Linked DNA regions of Notamacropus eugenii. The protein of the gene in region 3 binds, or shares a complex with, the protein of the main gene of each other region. Links are inferred from orthologs where the notes say so. Each region holds a gene or a part of one and is shown on either strand. Other genes may lie near its edges. The genes, in order: ANKS4B, CDHR5 and CDHR2.

The links.
Region 1: CDHR2 (region 3) and ANKS4B share a complex: the UniProt entries of both Homo sapiens proteins name them as parts of the IMAC/intermicrovillar adhesion complex. The link is inferred for Notamacropus eugenii from reciprocal best matches to the Homo sapiens genes CDHR2 and ANKS4B.
Region 2: CDHR2 (region 3) and CDHR5 share a complex: the UniProt entries of both Homo sapiens proteins name them as parts of the IMAC/intermicrovillar adhesion complex. The link is inferred for Notamacropus eugenii from reciprocal best matches to the Homo sapiens genes CDHR2 and CDHR5.

Annotation. Positions count from the first base shown.
Region 1 is NC_092874.1:397,908,369-397,918,393, forward strand, and holds the start of ANKS4B (ankyrin repeat and SAM domain-containing protein 4B), read right to left. Parts: upstream 4,392-10,025; 5' UTR 4,312-4,391; coding exon 4,148-4,311; intron 1-4,147. UniProt on the Homo sapiens protein: As part of the intermicrovillar adhesion complex/IMAC plays a role in epithelial brush border differentiation, controlling microvilli organization and length. Plays a role in assembly of the complex.
Region 2 is NC_092873.1:27,702,040-27,712,965, reverse strand, and holds the start of CDHR5 (cadherin-related family member 5), read right to left. Parts: upstream 4,521-10,926; 5' UTR 4,426-4,520; coding exon 4,350-4,425; intron 4,107-4,349; coding exon 3,928-4,106; intron 3,728-3,927; coding exon 3,677-3,727; intron 3,591-3,676; coding exon 3,498-3,590; intron 3,399-3,497; coding exon 3,297-3,398; intron 3,077-3,296; coding exon 2,966-3,076; intron 2,620-2,965; coding exon 2,449-2,619; intron 1,682-2,448; coding exon 1,591-1,681; intron 1,451-1,590; coding exon 1,353-1,450; intron 1-1,352. UniProt on the Homo sapiens protein: Intermicrovillar adhesion molecule that forms, via its extracellular domain, calcium-dependent heterophilic complexes with CDHR2 on adjacent microvilli. Thereby, controls the packing of microvilli at the apical membrane of epithelial cells.
Region 3 is NC_092872.1:413,157,292-413,167,291, forward strand, and holds the start of CDHR2 (cadherin-related family member 2), read left to right. Parts: upstream 1-5,673; 5' UTR 5,674-5,946; intron 5,947-10,000. UniProt on the Homo sapiens protein: Intermicrovillar adhesion molecule that forms, via its extracellular domain, calcium-dependent heterophilic complexes with CDHR5 on adjacent microvilli. Thereby, controls the packing of microvilli at the apical membrane of epithelial cells.

The DNA.
Region 1 (10,025 bases), on a different chromosome or scaffold from region 3:
ACCAAGAAATAGAATGTGGACATCTGGGCTTGGAGATTGCTTTTAAAGTTTTCTTCAATTTATCCCATTTCACAAAATTTTTCCTTGTCATATTCAACCTCTGATGTACCTCAATGGTCCAAATGCCTCCAACACACCTGCTCTAGGTCCTCCTCCTTATCTGGTTTAAGTCCTTTTCTCTTCTTACACTCTTCTCACAGATGCAAAAAATAGTTGTATCTTTGGTATCTTCCTTGCCTAGAGATGAATTGCTCTCATCCTGTCCTCATAATTGTGTCACTTCCAGAATCAATCTCATCAATGTATACTTGATCCAATCCAGTTGCTTTCCCACCTTGCTTCTCTCTAGCATCATTTCTGTCTCCTCTATGAGTATAAGTATGGTGGTTCTGTCCTTATTGATGAAAGATATTTGTGATTTTAAAAAATCCTTATAAATCTTTTTCATTTTTTAAATTTTTTGTTCTCTCTCCTTTCTCATCCCTAATTTTCTTGGGATGAACTTGTTTGGTTGGGTCTATTGTCAAACTTTCTTTAAATTGGTTCTAATCTATATTGCTTCTCTCTGATAAAGTCCACTGTTTCTCTGGTTTATCAGTATATACTGCTCACAATCTTGCATCATCCACTAAACAAGATTTTATAAATGAGTTTCATTCTAGGTTAGTGCTTCCTCTGGCTACTATTTCTTTCTCTTTGGTGAATAAATCAAGAATTTGCTGACTAAGACTTTAGACTCTTTGAGTTTCCATGTTATGATAATTGGTTTAAAGTTAAAATTATTATCTGTGTCAATGCCCTTCCTACCATTATCATACCTTTTTCATTGGGTTCATTCTTTGTTGCCGAAGAAGACCATGCCATCAGAGAAATGATGATGTGACTTGTACTTGAATTTGTTTTGAGTGAGGGAAATCTGTGCAAGGTCACCAGCCTCATTTCTCCTCCCTATAACTTGTTTGTATAACATAAACAAGTTATAAAATAACTTGTTTTATAAGTCAGGTTTAAATTGTTTCAACTGCATTCCATATGTTTTATTTCCTTTTATTCTTTCCCCTTGTGTTGTATTCATTTTGATCTTTGATCTCACAAGTCTACAGACTGACTGGTCAGGAATTGCTCCCACACTAGTAATGAAGCATTTCCAGTTATTAAAAAGATAATAAATTCTTTTGTGATGCTGTTTGGTTCTCACCACGTCTAGAGCTTAATGAATCTTTTCTTGAAGAAAATCATGGCATTTAGGCTTAAGGCTTCATCTTTGTACTCTTTCATTCTTTTTTGCTGATCCTTTTTTTCAATATATTTCTTGTCATTGTTACCTTGTCCTACCTTTGCATTGAAGTCACTAAGTAACCAAGTATGTGCTGATTTACTTTGGAAGATCTTATCAAGTTCTACTGTAATTTTTCTCTTTGTTCTGTACAATAAATGTTAGTGCATAAGGTATAATTGTTTTCATAGTGATCTTTTTGGAACTACTTATCTTGAGCACCATATTAGATTACCAAATGTTCTATGCATTGATGTTTCTTATTGTTTGGGAATGTCTAATAAGACCAACTGTCAATGCCCTTGTCTCACCAAGGAATACCTATCAACCATCCTTACACTCAGCTTCAACTTCTTTCTTCTAATTCTGTTTATAGTAAGCTGGTCAAGATAAGTATTATTCAGTTCCATACTTAAATGTGCAATGGTGGTCATCCCATGGAATATGCATGCAGCTGAACTGATCTCCCTTAGGTCATCTCTGAATTGGGACATGTGCTGAGCTGATAATGGGACTAAGCTGTTTGGGATGATAAAGCAATCTCTTTATTGGTCACTTAGTCCATGTGACAGTGTCACAGGCAAAGGGTGCCTGTGTCAAAGAGCATTGGTCACTGAGTCACATTAATGTTTTCTATCACATTATGGATATGACTAAGAATCTACTTATTCAATTCTGAGGCTGGAATGGAGGACCTTCAAGGTCAGTTAGTTTAGACCCTTGCTTCTAGGAAAGATTATACATAAATTATCCTAGACAACTATTCCTCCAATTCTTAAAGATCCCTGGGGAATGAAATTTCAGGTATATGATTTTTTCTCTTCCTTTTTCATATTCCTTTCCTTCCCCACTCTCATCTCTCCACTATAACTCCCTATGTTAATCCCAATCCTTGTCATATATTGTGCTGAGATTGGCAGTCCTTGAAAGTGTTCAGCTGAGGTTCCAACTCTTTTCCCCTACTTTTCTTTTCTGATTTGAATAATGCAATGAAAGTGGTTCATCTTCCCCCTTTGCTACCATTCATCCCATAATACCTTTCGTACAATCTGACACAATTGTGCTGTGTTGGCTAATCAATGTTCTTATATTTTGTTAAGGCCCCTTTTCTCTTTCTAAGTGAATAATCCTTTTTGGTAGGGACTGGCTTTTGAATCTTGTTTTATTATTCATTGAGAATTAGTTAGCATCTTCAGTGGAATACAAGGAATTCTGTGGTAACCTCACCTTGATTATTTTCTTTTCTGTACTTGGAGTAAGGTAGATCCTGAAGAAATGATTCTGCCCAAAGCTAATCCTATATGAAAATAAGTGGATAGGCATCATCCTAGAGGTGCATGGAAAGCTCAGTGCCTAAAACTATTCTTACCTTTCTGATCTGAAATCATCACCTGTGGATTACAAGTGGACTAGAGGACAAAGCTGGAAAAAGCTCCCATTAATATAATTTACCTCAGAATGGCTTTTAAGCCTTTTTCCATTAGCACATTGGGGAAAGCTAGTTTATTAGATCATCTTTGAAACTAATGAGAGTAGATGTTAAATAAATTTCACAGAGAAGCAGAGAAAGGTTAAGGAGTAAGGGAGTCAAGGAACAGCAGGAGAGTAGCAGACTAAGGGAGACATCCCTATAATTGGGAGTTGGGGGAAGTCAATGTCAAAGTTGAACAGAATACGTAAAACTTTGCTAATTTCACCACTATGTCTAGGGCTGGCCTTGACCCTGATATTCTCCATCATAAACATCTTTTCAATTTCTTTCCTCCTTTCTTTCTGTGTAATGCCCCCCCCGTCTCTGTCTCTCTCTCTCTCTCTGTCTCTCTCTCTCTCTCTGTCTCTGTCTCTCTCTCTGTCTCTCTCTCTCTCTCTCTCTCTCTCTCTCTCTCTCTCTCTCTCTCTCTCTCTCTCCCTCTCTCCCTCCCTCCCTCCCTCCTTTCCTCCCTCCCTCCCTCCCTCCCCCTTTATTGCACTCCCCCCAACACATATACTGCTTAGTTCTATTGGTGGTCCTCAGAATTAAGCAAATTGCTAATGCCTCAATTAGAACAAAGAGAGATCATTGTTTAGGCCTAGTTTTGGATGAAGTAGTTCCCATAGTGAGGCAAACTCAAAGTCCTATTTATAGCTTATTTAATTGACTCATAAATAAGCCTGCCATCCAACTTTGAAACTGGGTCTCGCTACGGTGTCAGGGACCAGATCTTCAAGAAGGGAACAACTTCATCCAGCGACTTCATAGGTGAAGAGAAAATAAAAATTCTATAAACTGGAATTTATGCTGGTAATGTTCTTGGAAATAGAACTTCTTAAAAGTTGAGCATTTACTTTTGGGTAAAAAGATTCATAAAATAATAGAATTGCTTCTCTCCTATCCCCACCTCCTACTCATTTAAACTGCATTTTAAAATCATGCCAGATACACGGAGTTTATCGTCTTGAAAATATTCAGCAAAGATTTTTAAGTATTTATCCTTGGCAACACATTCCAGTGTCTCTGGCTTATAAAAGAAACATCATCTATTCTTTGCCATTATCACCAGATCATCTTGCTCCATCCTCAATGGCAAAACAAAATAAAACAAAAAACCTAGCATCAGCTCAATGGTTAAAAAAAAATGCATTTCTGGATCTAGGTAAATGTCTATTATTATTATCACAATCATTATTATTGAGATAGGCCTGTCATTCAGAATTGTAAAACACAAGGAAGAGGCGCTAACTATAGGATTTCCCCATTTCCCAAGGAGGCAGTTATTTAAAGACTTCAGGAAAGACTTGTAGGATTTGTCCCACGTGCCATTTACTTTACTCTCATGTGAAAAAATCCCCTGAGTAACTTGGCCTTTATCAAAAACTATAGTCTAAACTTACCCCCTACTACAGATGATCTCCAGAGCTTCCAAGTTGCCATGGTAGGCTGCCAGGAGTGTGGGAGTCATGCCATCTTCATCAGACAGATTAAGATCTCGCTTGGTAGCCTCTTTCAGAATTTCCAGGTAGCCATCAGTCGCAGCTTGGTGGTACCGGGTGGACATTTTAAATTCAGCTCTTCTCTTACCTCAGCCAGCACTCAGAGTGTTTGCCCTAAGTCTTCTGCCAGGCAGAGGCCTACCCAGCAGCCCTGCCTCAATGGGAGGGGTTAATCAGTGACTATAAACTGCAGTATACCTTCAATAAGGTAGAAATATGAGGGCAAAGCTCATCACCTGTCTGCCTCCCTGGAGGAAGCCAGAAAAGTACTTAGATCTGACAGAGGAAATTTTCCTTCCAGAATGGCTGCCAATGGTTATTTTATTTCCTTCACACTCCCAAGTATTTTACAGTTTGGGGGAAAAAGGAACTGAAACAGAGGTTACATCACTAACTGATTATCATAAAGGTGACATAGGCAATATAGTCATTGAACAAAAGGAGACAGTTTTCATTGTCATATAATCTAGCACTACTCCCCAGATTTTATTGGGAAAGTATCTTTTTAAACTATGCTTTCCTCTCTTCTGTTTTCTCTGTCCCCCACTGTCACAAAGAAGACATTATTCCAGGGGGATGCTTTTACGTTTCATGGGTCTTCCGTTCTCAGCTACTTCTCAACAATAATTAGAGATTTAAGCTGACCTTTGATCCTTTTCCTGGTTGCCATGTAAACAGTAGGAGGAGTATTTGAGATAACTGAGTCATTTGGTTGCAAAGAGGAACAAATTCTCCTAGAGCAGGCTAACTTTGTTCAGGGGTTATGGCTAACCTGGGAATGAAGAATGAATCGAACAGAAATGTTGATTCACTTATGAAGAAGCTTTTAATCCACACAATTTAAATTTACTGTCATTCCTATTTTAATCATTTTAATTTCTTTTGGCCCTAGATAATCTTTCTTTGTCTCTCAACCAATGTAATTTTCTTTAAAAAAACCAAAACCAAAACAATATCCATATCTTGCCCCCAAACCTTGAGAGAATTTGTTAATTATATGGATTTCTTTTTTGCTTCTTAACTGTTTATTTACTTGTCTTGCGTTTCTCCCATTTGAAGTATTTCTAGATCAAGTAACCTGTTTGTCTCTGGTGTCTTTAGAAAGAATGATGACAATAGCTTTCTTTGGGAAGGCTTTGAAAGAGAAAGCTTTGGGGAAAGAAAGAATGTCTTGAATGACTGTGATATAACAAGAAAAAGGCATCAATAGCACTTCTTTTTACAGTCCCTTTTTTGGTGAAATCTTTTGTTATTGATGAAGATGCTCCACATTGCATATTTTGGGATGGATTCTGATTGCCTTGGCTGGGGTGGGGGAGGGATATTATATCATATTCCAAAGGTTATTTGAATAGCTTTTCCCTAATATCTAAAAGCCTCTCTCTTTTCTGCCTGCAGTATCTATTATTAGACATTGAAATTTGGTGTTTAACTACTGTGTTGCTTAGAGATTAAAGATCTTATCTGTCCTCCAGGATTGCCATCGATCAGAACTCTGTCATCCATTTTCAATATTCCTAGATAATTTTCATGCATTGTTCCTACAGTACGGTAGTCAGAATTTTCAAATCAATAACATTTTCCCAGGATATCAATAATCCTCAGTTTATCTCTGAGTCCTTTTCTCAAGGTCAGTTTGACTTTTGTAGAATATGAATTCTTCTAACGATGTTATCCTTTGGCTCTGTTTTACCAAATTTTCCTTATCTATAGTTTTGAATCCCAAATCTTTCATTCCTTTTTTACAGTTTCAATGGTTTTATAGACATATGTTTTTGTATTGTAGGAGAATCTAGATGAAAAGCATCATCCTACACAGAATTAATAAACTTTATTTCCCCTCATAGGGCAAGAAAGCTGATTTCAGGGACAATCTCAATGTACAGCCCCTGTACCTGCAGTGGGGTAGCACCAGGTAGCAGGGGTGGGAGGAGGAAGGATCCATACTTCAGTTGATAGAAACCCTCAGGCTAAAATTCATAGATTGTTTGAGAAAAGAAGCAGTATCTTACCAAGGTAAGGCTGACTTGTTTTCTATAGAACCCAAAAAGTGAGAGTATTTATAAAATTACCTAATGAAGAAGGAGGGACATGAGCAGGGAACTAGAAATGAGGAGAAGGGAAAAAGGAAATTTAATTCTAATAGTACCATTCCAGGAAAAGGTTGAAAATGGAGCTTAATGTCTGGGTTTTTGTATACTTGCTTGGGGGTTGTGGGGGGCATCTACGGCCTTATCAATCAAACTGGCTTTCACCCATCCACATTTATTAACTACCTACTTACTCATTTGTTTTGCTGAATTCTTTAGTAGAAGCTCTGGTTTATTGATTAATCTCAGACCTGTTTTCTATTCTAAATTTTCTTATTTCTTTTTAAAAAATTTGTGGAATTTCTTGTTGTTGTTTTTCCTTTTTTAAAAAAATCCAATATTTTTTTCGCATTTCTTTCCAAAACAAATTTTATGGTATCTTTTGTTTTTACAGTACCTATATTTCCCAATTTTTCTCTCCTCCTTCCCTTCACAGAGAGCTATCCTTATAACAAAAAAATTTTTAAAAGATAGAAATCAGTTCAACAAAGCAACACAACGGAAAAAAGTCCAACATTGTCAATATTATTTCAAACTTCATAATCCTCCACTTCTTCCAAAAAGGTAAGGAACTGCCTTGTTCTATTTCTTCTTTCAAGTCAAGCTTGGTTGCTGCAATTTCATAGCATTCAATTTCCTTCTGGAACTTTGGTTAGACTCAGCCGTGTATTTGGACAGTGTTCTGCTGTCTCTTCCTAATTCTGATATCCAGTTACCTTCTCTGTGTTTTGAAAAGATGCATTATTGTTGTTCGTATTGTTTTTATTATCTTATCATTCTAACTTGGCCAACCCTGACTGATGGGATAGCTTGTCAGTCCATTCTTAATGCCACTTCTGGCCATGGGAAAAGGTTAAAAAAAGAGATTTAGTTGATTTAATTGAAGTGATCTAATTTGGTAGGTTTTCCCATATCTTCAACTGGTAACTCTTGCTGTGCCAGCACTAACTTTTTCAATTCAGGGTTTAGTCTGCAGGGTTTTTTATTCCCACAGATTTGCAGTTTCTCCTGTAAATCTAACTAAAGGAAAGATATCAAGTATGAGCATGTGCATTCTGGGTCAGATATATTAAAGAGTCCAATTTGAATTGACTAAAAGTAGCAGTAGTAAAATTATTTTATTAGGAACTGCAAGGTATTTCATTCCTTTGTGGTCATTTAGGTAGAGGGTGGGGAGGACAGAGAGAAGAAAGCAAAGGGTATTACAAATTCATATGTGTACAAATTTCTAATCCACCCTGAGAGAAACTTGCTAGCAAACTTCCAACTAGATTTTTTTCCCTTTGTTTTATAAAGCTATTCATTGCTAAACTGTAAGAGAAATTCAGTGGCTTGAGTGGCCCAGAAATACATATATTCATGTAATAAGTATACTCTCTCTTGCCCTCAAGAGATCTAGTTTTCAATAAGCAGTTTCTCTCCAGTCTCTAAAGCTTTTCATTTCTGATTATAAAAGAAACTTGCTTGCATGGAACAGAAACCCACACATATTTTGGTAATAAGGAAAAAGGCAATGAGAGGAAATCTGCCTTTCAATTCATGTTGCCTTGGTTTTGTATTTCATTTAAGGCAAAACCAACCAGGAAATAAAGGAGTTTCAAAAAAAACCCTTAACAACATGACCCATAGGAAAGTACAAACAATACCTCACTTCGCTACCTTGCAATCTGTTGTGAACTTGTGCATTATCCTATAAAATCTCATTATCTGTTCAGATAAGCACATTGTTGTCAAATGAACTCTTCAGAAAATGACTGCTAGATCTCTGTTTTCTTTTTTGCCATTCGGCCAAAACTGTTTCAACCAACTTGAATAAGACTTTTCTTGTTCACAAGATTTCAGATACTAAGAATAATTGCCTTGTTTTCCTATTAAAAGGATGTAAAAAGACACTTTTTCCTCACATCATTACCATTGCCTACCCATTCTTTTTTCTCTTTCATATTAAAATGTAAGAGAAAAACTAGGTGGGTAGATTGACTCATGGAATTTTAACGCTTCTGAAGGGCTGGTGGGACTTAATTTGTTCACATAAGTTTCAAACTATTCACAGTCCTATTTTCCTGCCAGAATAAAAGACAAAGTTGCTATTGTACCATCTGGTTTGCATGAGGTATTATTTGGCATCTCTCAACTGCATATTTTAAAAATGCTAAATCCCAGACGGTATTACAGTCTAATTAGGACCAGAAACAATAAAGAGGGCTTTTTGTTTTTTGTTTTTTAAGTCCAGCCAAAAAAGAAAAGAAAAGAGAGAAAGAAACCAACCCTCTCATGATTTAGATGTGCTTTATAACGAAGAAAAATGGAGAGGGGCGGGGGGAGAAGAGACATTCGCAGTAAGTGCTATGAATTTTAATTCTACATTTGCAATTAATTGGCTTTTGTGATCTAGGGAAAGTTCTCTCTTTCTTCTCCATTTTTCAGATTTCATACCAATAAATTATTCTGACCTGAAAGTCTCAATCAGGATAATCATATACTTGTTACCCCTTTTCAGATAACAAAGGTCATCAAAATCCATGTAAAATTACAGAATAGATGACCTCTTTAAAGCTTTTATTGGCTGCCATTTTCTTTCACTATGGCAGACTGAATTATAAATCAAACTTAAAATAATATGCAAGTGATTATCAATAGAAAAGGATGCTAATGACTTGATTAGGTTCCTTGGCTTTTCTCTGAAAAAATTCTACTAGTGAATCATCAACTCACATGGTTTCATTTACCATCCATACCTCCACAGTCTCATATGTTGTCTTCTCTTCGGTCCCTCATGCCTTTCTGTGTACAAGGCCTTAGCCTAAAAAGGGTCGGGGTCTCCCATTGCATCCTGGGCCATCTCTAGTCATCCTGATGAATATCTGGCCACTTGATCCAGATGGCTCTAGAGGAGAAAGTGAGGCTGGTGACCTTGCACAGCCCTCTCTCACTGTAGCAACAAGCACCCCTTCTTTGTGGGGGGAGGGCTGTCACAGTCTCAGATATATTTTCCAGAAAGGGAAGCACCAACATCTGGGTTTTCAAAGCTAGAGGGGCTGCTTAGTGCCTTCTCAGAATCTCATCAAGCCAAACAAATACTTCCAGTCAGTAAGCCCCAAAGTAAAACTTCACCCTCAGAGTATTTATACATTTTTTAGAGCCAGAGGGCATCACAACCCTTCAGAGTCAATACCTCATTAGAAAATTAACAAAAGGTATGAGCCTTCCTACAAATCTTCCCAGGTCCATTAATGGGTAAGGAAGATCTTCCCATTAAAAAGCAAAATTATATTAACAGTAAGCAAAAATGCATTATCAATGTACTCACTCAAATCAAAACTAACTGAAAGTCATGTCATCATTTCCCTGATGTCATGATCCTCCTCGAACACTAAGGACAAACAACCCTGTGAGTAGTCCGAGCTGCCTGAATGGGGACCTAGCCAGTAGGGTAACTCAGCTCATCCTGTCCCTTCCCTCTCCTCTCCAAAGGAAGGTAAATTTTGATGGCTAGAAGCTGCCCAGTCAGACAACTTATGGTAGAGTGGAAAGCACACTGTATATCCCTCTACCTAAAGCAAAGTATGAAAGAAATAGTTTCTTCTAAATTTTCTTCTCTAGGTTTATGAAAGACGGACACTTTAATGCACTGTTGATGGAACTGTGAATTGGGCTGACCAATTTTGAACTATAGGCCCAAAGTCACT
Region 2 (10,926 bases), on a different chromosome or scaffold from region 3:
ACAACATGTAAATAGACACAAAGCATGCTCTGGACAGGATAAATTGGAAATTAATCTAAGGAAAGTCCTGGAATAGAGGGGCTGGGGAAGGTTTCCTGTAGGATTTGGGATTTTAGGAAACCAGGGAGGTCAGTAGGAAGAGTGTTCCAGTCATTGGGGTCAGGGGCAGTGTGAAATGGCCAGAGAAAGTGTCCAGAGCCCATAGATGGAGAATCTTGTTCATGGAACAGCTGAGAGGTAGGGGGGCTTGTGCCTCAAAGAGTACTGTGGGGGGTGGGGGGGAAGTTATAGGAAAACTGGAAAGGGAGTAGGCAGGTTATGAAGGACTCTGAATACCAGGAAAAAAAAAAAGATTTTATATTTCCTCCTGGAGTAGGGGGTGATATGGTCAGACTTGTTCTTTAGGAAAATCACTTTGATGACCAAATGGAGGATGGATTGGAGTGGGGAGCAACTGAGGCAGACAGACCCTCCAATAGCCCAGGAGTGAGGATATGAGGGCCTGCACAAGGGTGGGGACAGGGTCAGAGGAGATAAGTGGGCATATTGGGAGAGAAAATGCTGCAGAGGTAAAATGACAAGAGATATTTAGAAGTGAAATCTACAAGAGATAGAAGTGAAATAGAAGACACGAGATACTTAGAGGTGAAATGGACCAGAGAAACTTAGAGGTGAAATCTACAAGAGACAGAAGTGAAATAGAAGACAAGAGATACTTAGAGGTGAAATCTACAAGAGGTGCTGGATAAGTGAAATCTACAAGAGATAGAAGTGAAATAGAAGACACGAGATACTTAGAGGTGAAATGGACCAGAGAAACTTAGAGGTGAAATCTACAAGAGACAGAAGTGAAATAGAAGACAAGAGATACTTAGAGGTGAAATCTACAAGAGGTGCTGGATAAGTGAAATCTACAAGACATGCTGCAGAGGTGAAAGTTACAGACTTTAGTCAACACATTGGAGCTGGGGGGTAAAAGTCAGGAGTCCAGGAGTCCAGTCAAAGTTGGGACCCTGAGGGACCAGGAGAAGGGTACCCTCCACACTAATACAGAAGGTTTGGGGAAAAAGAACTTCAGTTTTGGACATGTTGAGTTTCAGATGTCTACGTCCAGTTCAAGATGTCTGAAGGGTAGATGGAAGACTGGAGGTCAGTTGGGAAGTGGGGGCGGGAAGGATAGATTGATTTGAGAATCCTCAGCACAGAGATGGTCATTAATCCATGGTTGCTGATAAGATCTCCAGGTGAAACAGGGAGAAGAGCAGAGGGCCCAGGCCACAGCTAGAGGGACACCCTCCCAGTTGGGGAGGGCATAGGCTAAGAAGGGGAGCATACCTAGACCTGCTTCTCACCTGGACTACCAGGTTGAAAGTCTTGGGGACAGGGACAGCTTTGGCCATGGTGACGTTGCCTGAGTCCACGTCAATTTGAAATGTATCATCTGCATTCCCTGGGGAAGTTTGGGGGGAAGGGAGGTCACCTTCAGTCATCTTTGTGCCTGCCCCCTCCTCCACCCAGAGATAGTGTGGTGGGCAGGCAGCACAGAGGGCCTAGACTCTGATGGGTTGGCAGGGGTAGGATGGATCTCACCTGCAATAATGCTGTATCTGATTGGTTCGTTGATGGCAGTGTCTCCATCAATTGCATATACAGGCCCGGGTTCGAAGGTCAGGGGTAATGTCTACAGGAAGGTAAGAGGAGAACCAGTGGGGGTGGTGTCTCTGACCCAGCCTCCCCTAGTCACACAGACTGGCCAGGTGAGAGGACTGGTAGCCTTCTACAGTGTCCATCTCTTGAGTCCCAAACTGACCCTAATTGGCCTGTACAAATTTCCTGCAGGAAGTGAGCAGTGCCCAGACCTGTCTGCCGAGGAGGCAGAAATAAGGCCACTGGTGGGCTCATCTGGGAGATTATGGAGGGAACTTCCTTGAGAAACTAGGTCATATTAGGAGAGAAAATTGTTATTAAATGATTAGGGCTGGGGACTGGACCCAAGCTTGAGCGGGGTCAGAAACATGCAAGAATATGAGGTTCGGGGCACAAGTCTCCAAAGGATCTGAAAGTCTCCAAGGTTCTCATCCTCCTCATCTCAGCTGTGTCAGACTCTGGATGGAAATAGTCTCCAGCCCTAGTCACTTAATAATTATTTTCTCTCTTAATTTGGCCCAGATTCTCAAGGAAGTCCTTCCTGTATCCTCCCAGACATGCCCACCAGTGGCCTCAGCCCTGCTTCCTTGGCAGGAAGGTCCAGGTACTGCTCACTCTTTTCAGGAACTCTCTGAAGTCCAGTTGGGGTCAGGTTGGAGCCCCCAGGGATGGACACTGTGATCAATGGAGCCCTTTGGGAGACCTTCACTGGCCCTCCCTTCTGGCTACTGAGCATGGGTGGTTAGGAGAGCATGTGAGGAGAGATGCCTCCCTGCCCCCCACCCCAAGCATGGACATTACCAGTATGGAGCCAGTCGGCACAGCTGCTCGGTACTGTGCATTGATGCAGACTCGCCCATCAGTGAACACACAGGGTAAGAACCATGGAGGGCGTATGTCTGCAGGTATCACTTGAATTATGACTGTGGCTGTGGAGGTGTGGCTGGGCTTCACCGCTGGCTCTGAAGTGTCCTGTGGCAGAGACCCCAGCCACACATGAGTGGGATACAGCAGGGCCTCACTGACCACTCCATATTGGTGCGGGGGTACTCTTTTCTATGATCCCCTTCAAAGCTCCTGGTCTTAGAGGATAAAGAGGTCTACTTGGGAACTGGGGGTCACTGGGCATAGGCTTTGCCGTTTTGGTCTGTCAGGACACCTATGTGCCCAAAGGCTCCAGCACATAGATAGAGCTCAAAGAGCCTGAGGAAGCATCCCTCATTTTATAGAGGGAGAAGTCAAGGCCTAGACAGCGGCCAGGACTACCTAGAACCACACAGCCAGACTCCTTGGGGACCCAGGAAGGGGAGGAACTCACTCTTGCCAGAAGGTGGAAGACCAGGATTGGGGTCTTCTCGTAGTCCAGAGCCCGGGTCAGTTGAAGGGCAGGGAAGTTAACCCCAACCAGGGAGAAAACCAGGTCTGCATCCTGAGGTGGAAGTGGAGGGGGCAGGAACCAGTTGGAACCCAATGCTCCCTTCTCTTTCCCCCCAACGCCCCCCCATCTCAGGTAAGTGGCTGAGTCATATACCCCAGTGGAGCCTAGCGCCAGGGTCTGACTGGGAGTTGGGGGGAGAAAGATGCTCCGGAGTCCTGGAGGGGTTGGGGGAGGGAGAGAGGGTGCCCAGGAGGAAGCCAGGTCAACTGACCGAGGGGCTCTGCCCTGAGAGATTGTAGAAGATCGTGTCCCCATCCTTGTCTATGGCTGTGAGTTCTGTGGCTGAGATGACAGTAGTCCCCACGTTGGTGTTCTGCCCAAAATTTAGGAAGTTTGAGTGGGAACAGCTCAGCTCCATCCCTGGTTTGAACCCCAGTCCCCACCACACCACCCTGTGCATTGTGTAGCTCACCTCACTGACATTCCAGGCCTTACTGGAAAAGGCAAACACCGGGGCCATGTCATTGACATTGAGAACCTCCACAATCACAGGCAGAGTGGTCACCTGGGGCAACCCAGGGGTTAGAGGTCAGCAGTCATTCCTTCAGTCCAACCCACTTCCCCATCCCGATGCCTAGCCCCCACACTCACCACTTCAGACCCCTCCTTGCATTCTAACATTGCAGTCAACACGGTATGTGTCTGGGTGGGAGAAAGAAGGGAATGCAGAACCAGTCATTCTCAAAACAAACCAGGCCTCTGGACATCCACACTCTTATGTGACAGATTGAGCGGGGTCCCTCTTCCTGCCTCCCTGCCTGAGGTGGGGTGAACATAGGGGAATACCTAGAGGACCCAGGAAGGGGAAAAGGGATGGCATAGGGGGTTGGATCCTGGCTCACCTCATAATCAGGGGCCCTGGTGAGCCTCAGCTGACCATTCACAATATCGAAGATGTCCTTAGGACTGGATAAGTCACTCACAACCACTGTCTGCCCCAGGGGTGCTGTGACCGTGGCTAGGGGTTCGGTAGGGAGCTCATTCTCAGTCACAGAGAGCAGCGTCTGATTCACAGAGCACACTGTGGGGGGGAGGGGATTCCCACTCTGAATCAGCACTAACCCCTGAACTTCCCTGGAAGCCCCCTCCATCCCTGCCCCCAGCCTCTCCTCCCTCAAACCCTCCTCCCCCCAGCCCCCTGCTCCCAGCCTCTCCTCCCTCAGCCCCTCCTACCCCCCAGCCCCCATCCTTTCCTGCCCTTCACCATCTCCCTTGCCTCCCTGACTCTCTCCCCCAAGCCCTGCCTTCTTTTCAACCCCACTACCCTGGGTCTGGCCCTCAGCTCCAGGGAGAAGCAGCAGCAGTGGCAGAAGCCCCAGCGTCCACCCAGAGGCCTCCATGGTGGGAGAGCAACCCAGCCCTCCACCCGGGGAGCCTCTGAGGAAGGGGAGAAAAGATCCTTCAGCCTGGCTTGGCTCAGCCGGCCCTGCCCTGCTGCTCTCCTGGCACGAAGGAACGGAGAGCGACCTTTGAGACGGGCAAATGACGATTATTTATGGCACCTACAGCCAGGGCTCTGACACGCCCCCACCCCCAAGGTCTCAGCCCTCCCAGCACCCCAGAACAGAGCCTGGGACGCCGACCTCTGACTGGCCCTGGCCCTGGGGAGGTGTTGGGGAACACAAGCTTGAGTCTGGGTTGTAGAGAATCAGAAGATCCCTGCCCTTTGTCCCTCCACCGAACACAGGAGGAAATGAAACAGTCGCCCTGGACCTTTGAGGGCTTCCCAGGCTGCCCGTTCTTCTGGAGCATCCATCCTGTCCCTCCCTCCTCATTTCAGACCATTAACTAGTTAGTGGCCTCAACTTCGGAAAAAAGAACTTTGTGTTCCCTTGCTGTGCCCGGAGGGCCCAATCCTTGGGAAGACGTGAGAGGATGAGACCTCCTTCAGCTGGGAATGACAGGAGAGGTCATTTGTATGGGAGACTGGTTGTCAGGGCTGGGGCTGGGAAGGGAATCAGGCTGCTCATTTCAGGCATAGGGGAGGGAGCAATGGATGGACCCCCAGATACCTGCACAGGCCCTCTGGCAAAGGAGCTCGGGAAATTTTCTGTTCTTCATTATGAACTGAATCACTCAAAAACAACCAAAACCAGTAACTCACATTTCTATAGTGGTCTAAAGTTTACAAATAGTCAACTAGTCTTTCTCAAGTACCTAATATATGCCTGGCATTGTGTTAAGCCAGGAGTGGGGAAACCTGTGGTCTCATGGCTCCCAAGTGCGACTTTGAATCCAAACTTCACAGAGCATTTGTGCACAGAGGATTCATTTTGTGAAGTTTGGATACAGTAAAGGGCTGCATTTGAGGGCCTAGAGGGCCACACGTGGCCTCGAGGCTGTAAGTTCCCTAGTCCTGTATTAAGCATTGGAGAATACATAGAAACGTCCAGATAGGATGGCATTTGACTCTCACAGACTGTTCTGTTTGTTGTTATCAAGTCATATCTGATGCTTTGTGACCCCGTTTGTGGTTTTCCTGGCACAGATACTAGAGGGGTTTGCCATTTGGTTCTCTAGCTCATTTTACAGATGAGGAAACTGAGGCAAATAGAGTGAAGCAACTTGTCCAGGGTCATTTAACTAGTAAATGTCTGAGGCTGGGTTTGAACTCAGGTCCTCCTGACTCCAAGTGCAGGGCTCTAGAACTCAGGGAGAGAGAGGGCAAGATTGATCCTCTCTGATCATACTTATCTCCACCCACTGGGGGCTGATTGAGGTGGGGAACGTTCACTGGAGATTAGCTACAGAGGGTTTTATTCCAAGGCTAAGGAGGTCAGGGCTACTAGGCTTCCTTTCTAAGCAAAGTTAGAAAGATAGAAAAGTCAGAGTACAAAGAAAACTCCCAAAGAGCTGAATGCCCCCCAGACTTTGGCGGATTGGCCGGTCCCAGGCAGCTGACTTAGTATAATTACTGCCTTCTGTGCCCCCACCCCGCCTCTCCCACTTTAAGCCTCCTTTGGCTGGCAGACCATTCTACTCCTGAGAAAGTGCAAGATGACAATGGAGTGAGCAGGAGAAAGGTAGCCTCTGTGCTCTGTCTCAGAAGACACAAGACCCAGACCTTAGGTTTGCTTTCCCCATTTTCCTTTGATTGAATCAGTAACTTCTTTTGTAATCTTGTTTCATTCACCAGCTAGAAAAGTTGGAATTTTCTCAAGTGATTCCACTGGCAACCCCATCACCCCAACAGGAATGTCCATGCTAGCCTATGGGGTCACCACCAACATCCCCCAGCCCAGGAGGGTGGGGAGTTCCTACCTGGATTCTATGGGCAGGGGGGCATTTGTGCTGGAGGGGTGGTCAGGGTAGAGAGGCAAAGAAGTGCGTGTGAGGCTTGGAAGATGGTGGTTTCCTTGGGAAGGTTACTTCGGGCTTTGGTTGCTCACCATGTGAACTCCTTTCCTTTGGGCATTTCTGCAGCCTTTAGACCTGCTGCTGCTAGAAACACATTCCTGGCCAATTCAAAATTTTCCTTCAGCACCAGTTCTTCAACTTATGTGCCTGCTGTAACCCAACATGCTCCATATTTTAAGGGTACAGCTGTTGTCAAAGGAGAATTCAAAGAAATCAGCCTTGATGACTTTAAAGGCAAATATTTGGTGCTTTTCTTCTATCCTCTTGATTTCACTTTTGTGCGTCTGACAGAAATTGTTGCTTTTAATGACAAAGCTAACGAATTTCATGATGTGAGCTGTGAAGTCGTTGCGGTTTCAGTGGATTCCCAATTTAGCCATCTGGCCTGAATAAATACACCAAGAAATAGTGGTTGTTTAGGCCATATGAATATTCTGCTCCTGTCAGATTTAACCAAACAAATTTCCCAGGACTATGGTGTTCTGCTTGAAGGACCTGGCCTTGCATTAAGAGGTCTCTTCTTAATTGACCCTAACGGAGTTATCAAACACATGAGTATCAATGATCTCCCTGTGGGCCAAAGTGTGGAAGAAACTCTTTGTTTGGTGAAGGCGTTCCAGTTTGTGGAAGTACATGGAGAGGTCTGTCCAGCAAATTGGACACCAAATTCGCTTACGATCAAGCCATCTCTGAATGCTTCCAAAGAATACTTTGGGAAAGTGAATAAATAAACAATACCAAGTATTGAAGACCCATGTGGCTTTTTAAATTATGAAGAAACCACAAACTGGAATCTACAATAATATATAAAAAATTACTGCATATAGAAGAGTAGAATATGTGCAAGTTATGCCTATTTCTGTGAATTTCACCCCCAAATGCTCAGTTTTCATCAAATTGCCCCCTCAAAAAAACTATTTAACTTTGATAGTTGTTGCTAGTTCAGAGTATCATTTAGTACAAAATCCTTGCTTTCCCCATAGGTCTCCTTTACACATTACACTTAACATATATTTGGTGTCTTCATCAGAACCTAGAGGTTCCCTTCCTGAATTGATAGGCTAAAGAAATCGCTGTTGTCTTTCTATGCGTAAGAAACAGGTGTAGCAATCAGAATGCTCTGAGGGGCTTGAGTTAGAGGTGAACAGGTATAACTGCTTTCCCTTAACTGATTATCCCTTTGTAGATTTTTTTTTTTATTATTAAACCATAGCCATTTTTCTCCATAAAGTGAATGTCCTGTAACTAAAGACAGTAACTTCAGAGGTCTAATTTGACTCATGGCATATTTGAGTATAAGACAAGTATGAAGTATATTTACTGTTTAAAAAAATCTAACACTTAACAGTAGTAAATTAAAGTAGTTAATCATGGGCAGACCAGAGATTTTTAATTCAGGGATTCATTTACCATTATTTGAAGTTTGAGTGAACTTTATGTCTTGATATATTTCAAATACTATTTAATTTGACTGTAAAAGATACTTGTTGAACCCCAGAGTTATGTATAATGCAGCTCTGGAAATTATTATTGAACATTTATTTTTTGTAGCTGGTGAATAGCTCAGTGTACATTCTTTAATCAAGAATAAAGAAATTTTAAAGTAAAAAAAAAAAGAAAGACGTGTGTGAATGTTTGTTGATGGCCCTTCTTCCCTTGTCTAGGAAGATGATGAAAAGATGCCATAGGTACAGTATAGTGGCACTGATCTTCCCTCAGAGGCTTATTAGCTATGTGACCCTGGCAAGTCACTTATCCTCTCAGCCTCAGTTTCCTTAACTGTCAAATAGGAATAATAGCAGCGCCCCCCTCCAAGATTATTATGAGGATCCAAAGAGATAATATTTGTAAAGTACTCAGCACAGTGCCTGGCATCTTGTACAGGTACTTAATAAATGTGTGTTTCAGAGGAGAGAAGTGGAGCCAAGCCGGTGGAGAAAAGGCAGGTGCTTGCCTCTCAGCACCTTTAAATAATGTCCCAAAACAATTCCTGGAGCAGCAGAACCCACAAAAGGATGGAGGGAAATAATCTTTCTAGCCAAAGACAACCTAGAAGGTAAGGTCAACAGGAAAGAGGGAAGGGAGCCGGCAGCTAGTCAGAGAGATGGACGCAGTGAGGCAGGATTCTGTTGCTTTGCAACCAAGAATAACCTATCCAGCAAGACTGAGTATAATCCTGAGTATAATTAGTGATGGGGAGCGAGTGAACTTTACTTTCATCATAGCTGACTCAAAGAGGAAATAACATACACATCCAGTTGAGTACAGAAATCTGTCTTACCCTACAGGAAAGGAGGGGAAGGGAGGTGATAGAAAGGAGGGCAGATTGGGAAAGGAGCAGTCAGAAGCAAAGCACTTGAGGAGGGACAGGATGGAGGGAAAAACCACTAGCAATAGTAATGGTGAAAAAAATTTTGGAGCAAGTTTCTCTGGTGAAGACCTCATTTCTCAAACATATAAAGAACTGAGTCAAATTTATAAAAGCAAGAGTCATTCCCCAATTGATAAACGATTAAAAGATATGAACAGTTTTTAGATGAAGTAATCAAATCTATCTATAGCCAACTGAACAAAACTCCGTATTGATTGGAAAAATGAAAATTGAAACAATTCTAAGGTGCTACCTCATACCTATTAAATTGGTTAATAGGACAGAGAAGGACAATGAACAATGTTGGAGGGGATGTGGGGAAAATGAGACATTAATGCACCGTTGGTGGAGTTATGACCTGATTCAGCCATTGTGTAGCACAATTTGGAACTCTGCCCAAAGGGTTACAAAACCATGCATTCCCTGGTTGGCCATGTTGTTCTAATGCGAAACGTGTGCTTGCCAAAAAAGACTCTTTTATGGAGAACTCACACAGGACAAGCGTTCACATGGTGGTCAGAAGAAGTGATACAAGGACACTCTCAAGGTCTCTCTGAAGAACTTTGAAATTGATTATGGGAGACAGACACAGGACCAGTTAGCATAGTGTGTTCTCATCAGAGAAGATGCTGTTCTTTATGAATGAAGCAGAATTGAAGCAGTTCAAAAGGAATACAAGATGCATAAATTTAGAGGATCCTCCCCAAATGTTCATATGGACTCTTTGTGCCCGACCTGCGGGGAACCATTCTTGTATTGGTCCAATCAGTCACAGTCAGACACAATGTCATTTTGGTCTTTAAGAACCAAGGACAACAACCAACCGACAGCTGCTAGGTCTCTATCCCGAAAGAGATAAAAAACAAAAAAGAAAAGGACCTATATGCACAAAAATATTTCTATCAGCTCATTTATGGGGGCAAAGAATTGGACATAGGTGACTACGTTGGAATACTATTGTACTAAAAGAAACGATGAGCAGAAAAGCTTGGAAAGACTTACATGAGCTGGTGCAAAGTGAAATGCACTGTGTACAAAGTGACAGCAGTATTATAAGGTGATCAGCCGGGAATGACTGAGCTATTCTCACCGATACAATGATCCAAGACAACTTTGAAGGCCTTAGGATGAAGGATATTCTTCATCCCCAGAGAAAGAACTGAGAGTGTCTGAATACAGACTGAAGTAGACTTTTCTTTATTTTTCTTGAGGTGGAGTTTTTTAATTTCTTTCACATCATGACCGATACGGAAGTGTTTGGCATGATGACCAAAGAAAAAAAGTAAATCGGTGTTTCCCTCCTTCCTTATTTTATAATGCATATACTCAGTGAATACAATCTTTTCCCACTTCTGAAGGCCAAAGCATGCCTTGTCTCACACTAGCTTCCCTCCTGTGGCTCACTCCTCCATCCTTCTGGCCCATTAGAGCTCAGAACCACCATGTGTTGTTGGTGTGAACTCTCTCGCTTGCCCTTTTTCTCCCCATTAGACTGGGAACACCTGAAAGGCAGAGATTGTTTTTTGCCTTTCCTTGTATCCGCAGCTTTTGGCACTGTGCATGGTGATTACAGGTGCTTAATAAATGCTTGTGGAGTGACAGATTGACTGATAAGTTGGCGAAAACCTATAAATTCCTTTGGTTTTAAATGAGAAAAGGGAAGTACATGGGATTCCAAAAGCAACCAGTTATGCTGCAACACAGTCATCAAAATATTTTAAGAGATAATAATTTTAAAAATGGGATGTTTGCAAAGTGGCTTTCAAAACTCAAAGCGATATATAAATGCATGCTTTAACAGAAATAGACAACAGAAAACAAGTCTGTGGGTGGAGGGAGCCAGTCACCAGGGTTCCAGCAGGTGGTGCCCTTGTCTAGTCACTCCTTGAAGGATTTTCTCCTGAGGTGTAGTGAGAGGCTGCCAGCCACTGGGCTCTCACTCTAAGTCCTTTGATCGTCATCCCTCTCCAGAAAGATTTAAATCTGCTGCTGTTTTAGTGGACACCGGGCTCTCTAGTTCAACTGCAGAGACTGTATCTTCCCTTCCTGTCAGGGTGGTAAAGGGCTGGGAATTAAGGAGGTGAACTGGCAGTCAAATCATGGTCTATGAATG
Region 3 (10,000 bases):
GCCCGAAAAACTACAACTTCTAGCGTGCCTTGGGCTCTTCTCTCCCCACTTCTCCTCCCCCCTTCCCCAATACCCCCAAGCCCCGCCACCGCCGAGCCCATTGCACACCGGGAGATGTAGTGCCCGCAGACCATGCCTTGGAAAAGATCCGATTTCACGCTTCAAGGCATTTTACAAAAGGTCTAGTAAACTCCCTGGCTTTGTAGGTGAGCATATGGAAGTGCCTGGGAAAGGGGAAGCGATATGTTCACGGAGATACAGAATTAAAGAATCAGAGACTGAAGCTGATGGGTTGTCCATCTACTAACTAGCTCTGACAGGTCCTCCAGCTTTTGCAGAACCCATTGTCTCTAGAGGCAAACTGAATAGTTTTGAGCCACTTTTGGTGGGCTCTAATCATAGGAGGCTTTTTCTTCCGTGGAGCCCAAATCTGACTTTCTGAAAAACTTCTGCCCATGGTTCCTAGTTCAATTCAGTTCAACACACGTTATTTACAAGCACCGTGTAAGATGAGAACGAAGCGGTCCTCGGAACGTATTTTACTGCGGGGATGCTACAGGTATGCATAAGTACCAGGTAATTTGACACAGGAGAGAGTACTAAACGACTCGGAATGGGGTGGAGGGGTGCAGATCTGGGAAAGCTGCTTGGAAGAGCTGGCACTTAAGGCTTCAAGGAACGCAAGTTTGCTGAGAACTGAAGAAGATAATGTGAATTCCAGTATGCAGGACCACCTGGAAGAAAGTGCAGGGGCGGAAATTGGGAGGTGGGGCACAAAGAGCCGCAGGTATCCCATTCTGCGGGAACGAAGAGTTTATGGAGGGGAAGAAAGTGAAATAAGGCTGGAAAGGTAGATTAGGGCCGAACTGTGGAGGAGTTTAAAAGCCAGACTGAGCAGTTTGCATCATAGGAAGCCACTGAAGGTATTGAAATACATTTATTTCTGCCTTATGGGGCCAAGCAGAATAGGGCTAATACCTTCCCATTGCAGTTCTTCGAATACTTAAAACAAGCAATTATGAATGAATGAATGAATGATGAATGAATGGATATGTATCTATTGAGTGCTCACTACGGGCCAAACACTATGCTGGGGGTGGGGGGCGAGGTGGAGAGCAAAAAGGAAGATGGTCCTTGACCCTGTAGTCTTTTTTCAAGTTAAGAAATTTAAACTGTTTTCAAGAAAGTCAGTAAGCAAACAGCTCTTGTTTGTTCTTTTGTTTTAAGTCGTGAGCAAATAAGCAGTTGTTTGAAGTGATTATTCCCACACCCTTACCACACTTTTGATCATATTCAAGAAATGACAAATTTTGGAATATTTTATCATTTTGGTAATTTTAAAATAACCACTATTGAAAAAAGTTCAGAAAACCAATCACAAAGAAAAACCAAAGGAATCATTTGCTTTAGAAAAAGACACACAAAGCTTGATATCTTGTAGCAAAACAAACACATCCCTGCAGTTATATCTGGTTTAAGGTAGAACCTTTAGTCACTAAATAAAATTGCTAAACATTTATAATAAAGCAACATCCAATATATGTTTTAAATTCTTCCTTTACTAAGTTGTTAGAAAGCAAGCTGCTACTTCAGTCATCTAGTGTCTCAGTATAAAGCTTAAAAGATGGGTTTCTAAGCCCTCACCAGTAGCACTTTTCACGTATACTGGTTCAAACAATTTTGTTGATGTTCAGTTGTCTCTTCCTGAACCTACTCGGGATTTTTGTGGCAAAGATCCTGGAGTGGCTTGCCATTTTATTTTACAGATGAGGAACCAAGGCAAACAGGGTTAAGGGACTTGCCTAGGGTCACACAGCCAGTAATTATCTGAGGCTGAATGTGAACTCAACTAATATGAGTCTTTCTGACTCCCAGCCTAGTGCTCTATCCACTGTGCCACCTAGTTACCCTGTGGTTCGAGAATATATAGCAGCTAAATCAGAGAAATGGAGTCACACTGGAGTCCTAAGCATCAAAGCCTGTGGGCTTTGCTAGGGACAAGGAATTCACCATACTTTTGTATAAAGTAGAAAAGTTTAAAGCTTTATGTGAGGAGGGATTCTGTCTCAGAATTCAGTGCAGCTAGAGTAGATACAAGATCCAAATGGGATACTGTTATTCACCTGGGAGCTGACCTCCCTTATCTCCCACCACTGTCTTTCTTTGGCAAGGGGTCAGTCCTTTTGCTCCTCCATCCTCAGAACTGTGTCCCTTTTAAGAAAGACATTGAATTCCCAAGAATCCAGAGATTCATTCCATAAACTTGACTTGTTTCTCCCCAGTTTCCACCATCCTCAGGTTGGCTCTGTTCTAGTTGATTATTCTGACTGAAAGTGAAGGTGGAGATTTTATCTAAGATGAGCAAAGGCCACAGAGGGGCAATGGGTTGAATTGCTGTAGGTGTGGGACATCAAGAAAGGAAAATAAGTGCTTCATACCCCTAGCTGAGTTTCTCCCAGAGGCCTAACTTGGTATTGTAAGGGAAACAGGGAGCAAGTGAGTCAGTGCTGAGTCCAAGGTTAATAGTTGCTCAGTCAGGATATTGGAAAAATACACCCATGTTATCCTTTCTAAATCCCCTTGAGGATACTCATACATTGGGAATGGCCAAATAAATTATCATATGAATATGATGGAATACCTTGAGAAACTACAAAAAGGGTGGTTTCAGAGAAACCTGGGAAGACTTACGTTAACTGATGCAGAATGAAGTGAGCTGAGCCAGAAGAACAATCTATACAATAACAACAGCATTGTAAAGAAGAAACACTTTGAAAGTCTTAAGAACTCTGATCAATGTGATGACCAACCATGATTTCAGAAGACTCAAAATGAAGCAAACATGCTACCCACCTCCTGACAGAGGTGGACTTGGGGTACAAAATGGGACAAATGTGTTTTTTTTGGACATGGCCAATATTTAGAATTTGTTTTGCTTGACTATGAATATTTGGTGTTAGGGTTTTCTTTTTTCAGTTGGAGGAAGAGATGAAAGAGATTTTTTTATTAATTGAAAAAAAAAATAAAATTCAGAAGGAGGCTCACCAAGATTCCACATGGCTTTAAAAAAAACTTTAAAAATATGACTTGCATTGATAACAATGCTCTAAAGTTTATGAAACTTTTTTTTGCAACAAATTGGTGAAACAGGTAATGCAGGTAATTACGTAGATTACATTATAATATTGGGAGACAACATATATGGAGAGTGGTGGACAGAAAGAAGTATTTTTGTTTGGAAAGTTACAAGGATGTTTAATGGAATTGTAGGGGAATAGATTGACACACTATTTCCAGTAACAATGAGTAAGTGAATGAAAAAGCATTTGTTAAATGCTTATTATATGTACCCAACACTATGGGAATGCATAGCCTGGATGGAAATACAAAAACAAAGAGATCTTACATTCTAATGGGGGAGACTACATATGCAGTATAAGAAAATGGTGACCATGGAAAGGCAGTTTGGCCCTCAGAAAATTACAAAGGGATGGGCCATAAGGAGTAGACTGACATACATCATCCAGGGGCAATTGGCAGCATAGATTTGGTCAAGGTTCCATAACTGCTTTAGACAAGGGGGAGGCCTGGTTCAGGGGTGGGTAGGAAGTAAAATGAAGCATGACTTTCCTGAAATAAGGGATCAGTAGAATCAGTCACTAATCAAAATGGCTTGGTCCTTTTTATGATGATTCCAGAACTGAAAAGGAGTGGGAAGGAAAAAGAGCAAAGAGTATAATCATGGTGAGATAACTGGTGAGAAGGTAGTGGGGGAGACCATGTTCCTCTTCACCTCCCAACCCAAATCTTCCTCAGAATCCTCAGTTTTTCCAAAGTATCTCAGGGTAGTGTGGTCTCCAGTTTCCTGTCCATCCGAGCTATTCTTTGAGGCCATATGACTCCAAAGCCAGTGTCTTGCTGTAAGATATTCTGGTGACATTGCTACATTGCCAGAGTTATGAGTGTTTGTTGTCAAACATTGTCAGTGTTTGACTCCAAGGAATCCCTATTAGGCAGATGTCCCAGAGTTTCTCTCATAGAGTCTGAACTTCAGGGGTCCTCCTCCCTGAAGTTCCCTTCCCCAACTGAGGCTACAAAACTGTGTCGTAGAGCTGAAGTCTGAGGCTGAGAGGGAAGACAGTATGGGGGCAGTGAACTTGGCCTTGGGGATGAGGAGACCTGTATTTTAGTACAGAACAGTGGTATCAAACTTAACTGGAAATAGTGTCAATTTATCATAAAGATCCCTGCAGGTCACATGTTGACTTAGTTTTAAAATGTAATGTTATCTATGTTTTATGGCATTTTTATTTGTTTTGTTAAATACTTCCCCTTTATATTTTAATCTGGTTCAAACCCTGATGGGAAGTGTTTTGTGCTGCAAGACGGCCTCATGTGTGACCCCGTTGGTCTAGAATCTTTCCCTGGTTCACTGGATGACTTTGAGGGAGTTGCTTTTCTCTGGTTTCAGTTTGCCTATCTAGAGAATGATAGTCTGATAGGTTTGGCTAGAAGAAAGTTTAATGAACATATAAGTACAACCACTTCATTTTATCAAGGTCCCCTCACTCCCAAACTCTTGTCCTTTCCATTTCACCATACCTCCTCCTCTCTTTCTCCCCTTAACAAGAAGAAGAGGAAGTTTTCACCTATAAAAGGGATATAGAAAGCACAGGATATATCGGACCTTAGAAGTCATCATTTGTTTTCAATGTGCCGCTTCCCATCAGTTAGCTTTTAATGGAGTTGATGACTTATGGGTTCAAGAGTTAATTACAGGTGTTGCCATCTCCAGTCAGTTCAGGAAGGATCACTTTGACTGAAGAGAAGGTCTAGATCACATCAGGCCCTTTTTTGTTTCTAGGAACAGGAAGGGAGGGGAGATCACTGAAGCCCAGGTCTGGGGCAACCTCAGGCTTTATGACCAAGCTGGTGGGGGTCTGGGAGATCTCATAGTCCTTGCCTGGACTTTGCAGGGGAGAGGAAATTGGTGAGCCCTGGGTTCTCTTCTGAGCGTTGTCTGGAAGACTCTGGAGATGGGGGAATCTCCTAGTCCTGAACGGGTTTGGTTTTGGGGTGTCAGAGATGATAAGGTGGAGGGCTTAAAGTCATAGACTGAATTCTCAGGGAGGGGGAAGATAGGGGAGACCACAGCCCCAGGCCATGCTAGAATGGGAATATTTCATTTGATTCTTTTCAATTATATAATTTTATTAATTATCTATTATGTGCAAAGATATGACTACTCTCCATGCTGGATATGTAAGAATTAAAAAAACTCCACCGTCCCTCAATCTATTCTTCATCATTTTGGTGACATATAGTCATCAAAAGGGCTTATATAAGAGGATAGTATATCGACAGAAATATGAAATAAAGTATGGTAGGCAGGACAACGGAGAGATCTTGACAAGGTCCTCTAGGAAAATTTGAAGGGAGAGAGAAGGAAGGGGAGAGCCAAGAGCTAACATCTGGTAGTTAGGCTTTAATGGGATTGATGGCTGGTAGGTTCAAAGATAAAGGCACTGGAGAGTAGTACCCAGGAGAGGAGGAGGGGAGGACTATAGCCCTGGGCTGGGTTCTGGGGAGGGAGGGGGAATGTAAAAAGGAGGAGATAGATGAGTGAAGAGTGTCTTCCTCTGACGCTGGGGGAATGAGGCGAGCTGGGAGTTAGGGGGTGTAGGGAAAAGAATGTGGCATTGTGAGTCCAGCGTATGGGTCTGACTCATTTCTCTGGCATTTACTACCTGTGTGATCTTGGCTTTAACCTCTGCGACTTGCATTTTCTTTATCTGTTTAAATGGAAGGGTTGGACTGGATGAGCTGAGGTTCCTTCCCACTCTGGGGCTACTATTCTATGTTCTGAGAGCCCCCCGCCTAGGCCAGGTTGTACTAGGATGAGTTGGGGCACAAACTGGCAGAACTGGGCTGGGCTCTACTGGAAAGGTAGGTGGGGAAGAACTGACAGATGTGCCATAGGGCAATTAGCAGGCTTGGACTGGGCTGTACTGGAGGCTACTCTGGGGATTTGGGGGTGGGGTGGGAGGACATTGAAGAAGGCTAGACTGCCAAACAGCTCACTTAACTGTTTTTGCTTCCTTGTAGGGAATAGGGCTGAGGGTTCAAGTCAAACCTCCAATTAACCAATCAACAAGCATTATTAAGCACCAGTTATGTGTCAGCAGTAAAGAATGGAGCAGAGGATACAAAACCAAAGGCATCCTGTTCTCAGGGAATTTACATTCTAATGATGGATAGGAAATGCACTTTAAGTAGGAATAAGGTATATACAACCTAAGCTAGAGGGATGAAGGCAGTGGGTGGCAGGTGGGCCAGATAGTTCTTGTGCTGAGTCCCAAAGGAGGCTAGGGACTGTGACAGGCAGAGGGGAGGCTCCTGGGAGCCCCCAACCATAGCACTATAAGGGACCTTAGAACAGAAACTGTAAGAACTAGAAAACAGCCTTAGAGTATACATTAAGTACAATATGTGGTTTTGCAGGTAGAAAAACAGGCTCAGAGAGGAAAAGAGAATGCCCAGACCTATCTGTTGGTGGGACTAGGGCTAAACAGAGTTCAGGTTTCCTGAGTCTTTCCACTCCTCCACGATGACTGTTTTTTGCTGGACTATCTGTTGCCCAGAGCTGGCAGGGCCTGGGTGTCTCTTTTCATTCTGAGAAATAGAGATAAGGATGAAAAAGATAAAAAGGCTACCTGGGACAGTTCTAAGGTGTGGGAAATGAAGGGTAATGGGTTGGAACAGTCATTCTTAGGTTGGTCTGCTTAATTGTGGCTGGCTCCAAAGGTCTGGGTATGGCAAATTAGCCACAAGGCTAGGGGCTTTTGAAGATGAGAATATGAGTCCAGAAGGTCAGGGGATCAGAGAAAAATGGGAGGTCAAAAACTATAGCATTCAGCCCTTGCCCACCTTGGTATCTGTGCTGGAGTAGAAAGGCTTTTTGTTTTTGTTTTATTTTTACTCTGAAACAGTTGTAGGGGTATAGATTAAAGAAAGCTTCTTGGCAAAGATGGCATTTGAGGTGGGCATTAAAGAAGAGGAGGGTCTTCTAGGTGGAGGGTGCTATGTGAACAAAGGTTTGGAGGCAAGAAAATGCACAGTGTTGGGGGTGGACAGCAAGTTGTCCAGTTTGGATCCTAGACTGTAGGAAGGGAAGTAACAGGAAGAGCAACTGTAAGGATAGATTGGGGTCAAATTGTGGAAAATAGTGGAATAGTGATAGTTTAAGTCCCTTCCAGCCCTAAATGTAGGGTCCTATGACTGTCAAGATGGACATAATTGAGAAGATATGAGAAACAGTGAAATGAATTGAGCCAGTTGGTTATGGAGCTGATAAGAAAGAGCATCTCAACTAATTTATTGTCCATGGAAGTGAAGAAGAGGGACATGAGAGGTGAGGGTGAGGAAGGAGTACCAGAGAACTGGGCAATTTTGAGTTGGGCAACAGAGGGGATCATAATCTTAATTCTCATTGCTGTAGTCAGCTAAGATTTCTGGAATACTTCCTTTACAATAACTCTATGAGGGGATGAATGCAAATAGTCCCCCTTCTACCCCCAAAGAGGTTGGAAGTTCCCAAAATGACGGGTAAGGGGAATCCCTGGAATTGCAGACTTGTGGGAAGAGCTAGTCCTCTCTTGGTGCCCAGCACCTGCAACCTCAAAGACTGCAAAGAATGGGCTTCTCTGGAGAGAGCCTTTTCTTCTTTAGCTGAGATGTGACCTTGCTCTAGACTTGAGTTCATTTACTCTTTTGTATTCTATCTTCTATCCTGGGAGTCGGGGACCTGTGGCTTCAAGGTCACATGTGGCCCTCTAGGTTCTCAAGTTCTGCCTTTTGCCTGAATCCAAACCTCACAGAACAAATCCCCTTAATAAAAGGATTTGTTCTGTAAAACTTGGATTCAGTCCAAAGGCCATACCCAAGGACCTAGAAGATCACATGTGGCCTCAAGACCACAGGTTCCCCACCCCTGTATCTATCCCAATCAGTGTACTTCAGTTTCTATTGTTTCTCTATGTTTCCTTATTGGTTTGTGTGTGTGTGTGTGTGTGTGTGTGTGTGTGTGTGTGTGTGTAACAAGCATTTGATGGGAGAGTCTTGGTCTGGGAAAGGACTACTTGTTACCCAGGATGACCAGGGAAAAGAGCTCTGATTCTAAACTCCCAAAGAGTAAAAGAGTCCCACCTGACTAATATCTGATGTATAGAAGACACACATAATTCTAGCCTAATATCCCTCTTGGAGATAGAAGAATGGAGAAGTGAGTGCCCAGCCATGGCTCTTCTCTTATTCCACTGAAAGGTAAAAAATCCCAGTCTTAGTTGGGGACGTAGAATAGGGCTTTCCAGGTCCTACAGCTCATATAGAGAGAAATCCCTGTTGGCCAAGGTTTAAATGGTTACAGTAGTCAACAGTATTATACCAATATGATTATCTCCATTTTGTGGACCAGGAAACTTCGACAGAGGAAGACCAAGCAAGTTATTCAGCATTGTGTAATTGTTAAGTATCAGAATGGGGGACCGAATTCGGATATTCTGACTCTAAGACTAGGGCATTTTCTGCTGCAGCATTCTGTCTAGTACTATTCATGGAGAGAGTATATTGGGATTGTTAAGGGAGTAGGGAAAAAGAGGATAATTTTATCTCCCTCATTTTGAATGGATTAATCATAGCATGGTAAAGAAGACTTTACAATCTTAGGGGGCAGAATATCAGAGCTAGAGGGTGACCATTGGAAGAGAGGAAGGAAGGGAAACAAACAAACATTTATTAAGTACTTATCATATGCCAGGCAGCTAAGAGGCAGTTAGATGGCTCAGTGGATAGAGCTTTGGACCTGGAGTCAGAAAGACTTGAGTTCAAATCCAGCCTCAGACACTTACTAGCTGTGTGACCTTGAGCAAGTCACTTAACCTCTGTTTGCCTTAACCCATTGGAAATGGAAATAGCAAACCACTCTAGTATCTTTGCCAAGAAAAATCCATGGACAGTATTGGTGTACTTTGGTCTACAGGATTACAAAGAGTCAGACGTCACTGAATAACAACAGTGTGCCAGGTGTTGAGCTAAGCACTTCATAACTATATCTCACTCAGTCCTCATAACAATCCTATGAGGTAGGTGCTATTACTAATCCCATTTTAAAGATGCAGAAACTGAGGCAGGCCTAAATTAAAGTGGCTTTCCCAGGGTCACACAGCTAATAAGTATCTGTGACTGGTATTTGAACTTAGGTTCCAGGGCTCTATTCACTCTGTCACCTGACTGCCTCTAAGGCCTGGAAGGGATGAATCATTGATTTTCTATGGGTTTGAATACAAGTCCTTCCTGTGCCCATTTTGTGTATGTGTAGCTGTCTAGATCTAGGATTTTTATCAATATAGGGGATTCTCAGTGTGTGAGTTTCTGCTGGTACAGATTGCCAACTCATTTGTGACATCCTGTCTCAGAGAATTTCCTGTAACACTGAGATCTTAAGTTACTCACCCATGATCAAGTAGCCAGCATGTGCCAGATACAAAACATGAACTCAGGTCTTCCTGATCACAAGGCTAACCCTCTATCTGCTGGTTCATGTTCCTTCTCTTTCCTTACTGTGTCTTTTATTAAATATCATGATTTTATATTTTGAAGCCTTGTAATCCCAAGTACTCATAAGAAGAATCATTGGGTACTCTAAGGATTGCTAGATACTGAATTTTCCAGGTTCCATCTGCTTGGGTAGAGGAAAGCAAAGGTTTCCCCGTGCCTGGAATGCTCTCCCTCCTCACCCCTACCTCCTGGCTTCTTGGCTTCCTTGAAGTCCCACCTAGAATGTCACTTTCTACAGGAAACCTTTCCCTATCCCCCTTAATTTTAGTGCCTTCTTTCTGTTGGTTATTTCTTATTTATGCAGTATGTAGCTTATGTATACTAAACTATTTCCTATTGTAGTAGACTTTTCCTTTTCTTTGTATCCTCAGAATTTAGCACAGTG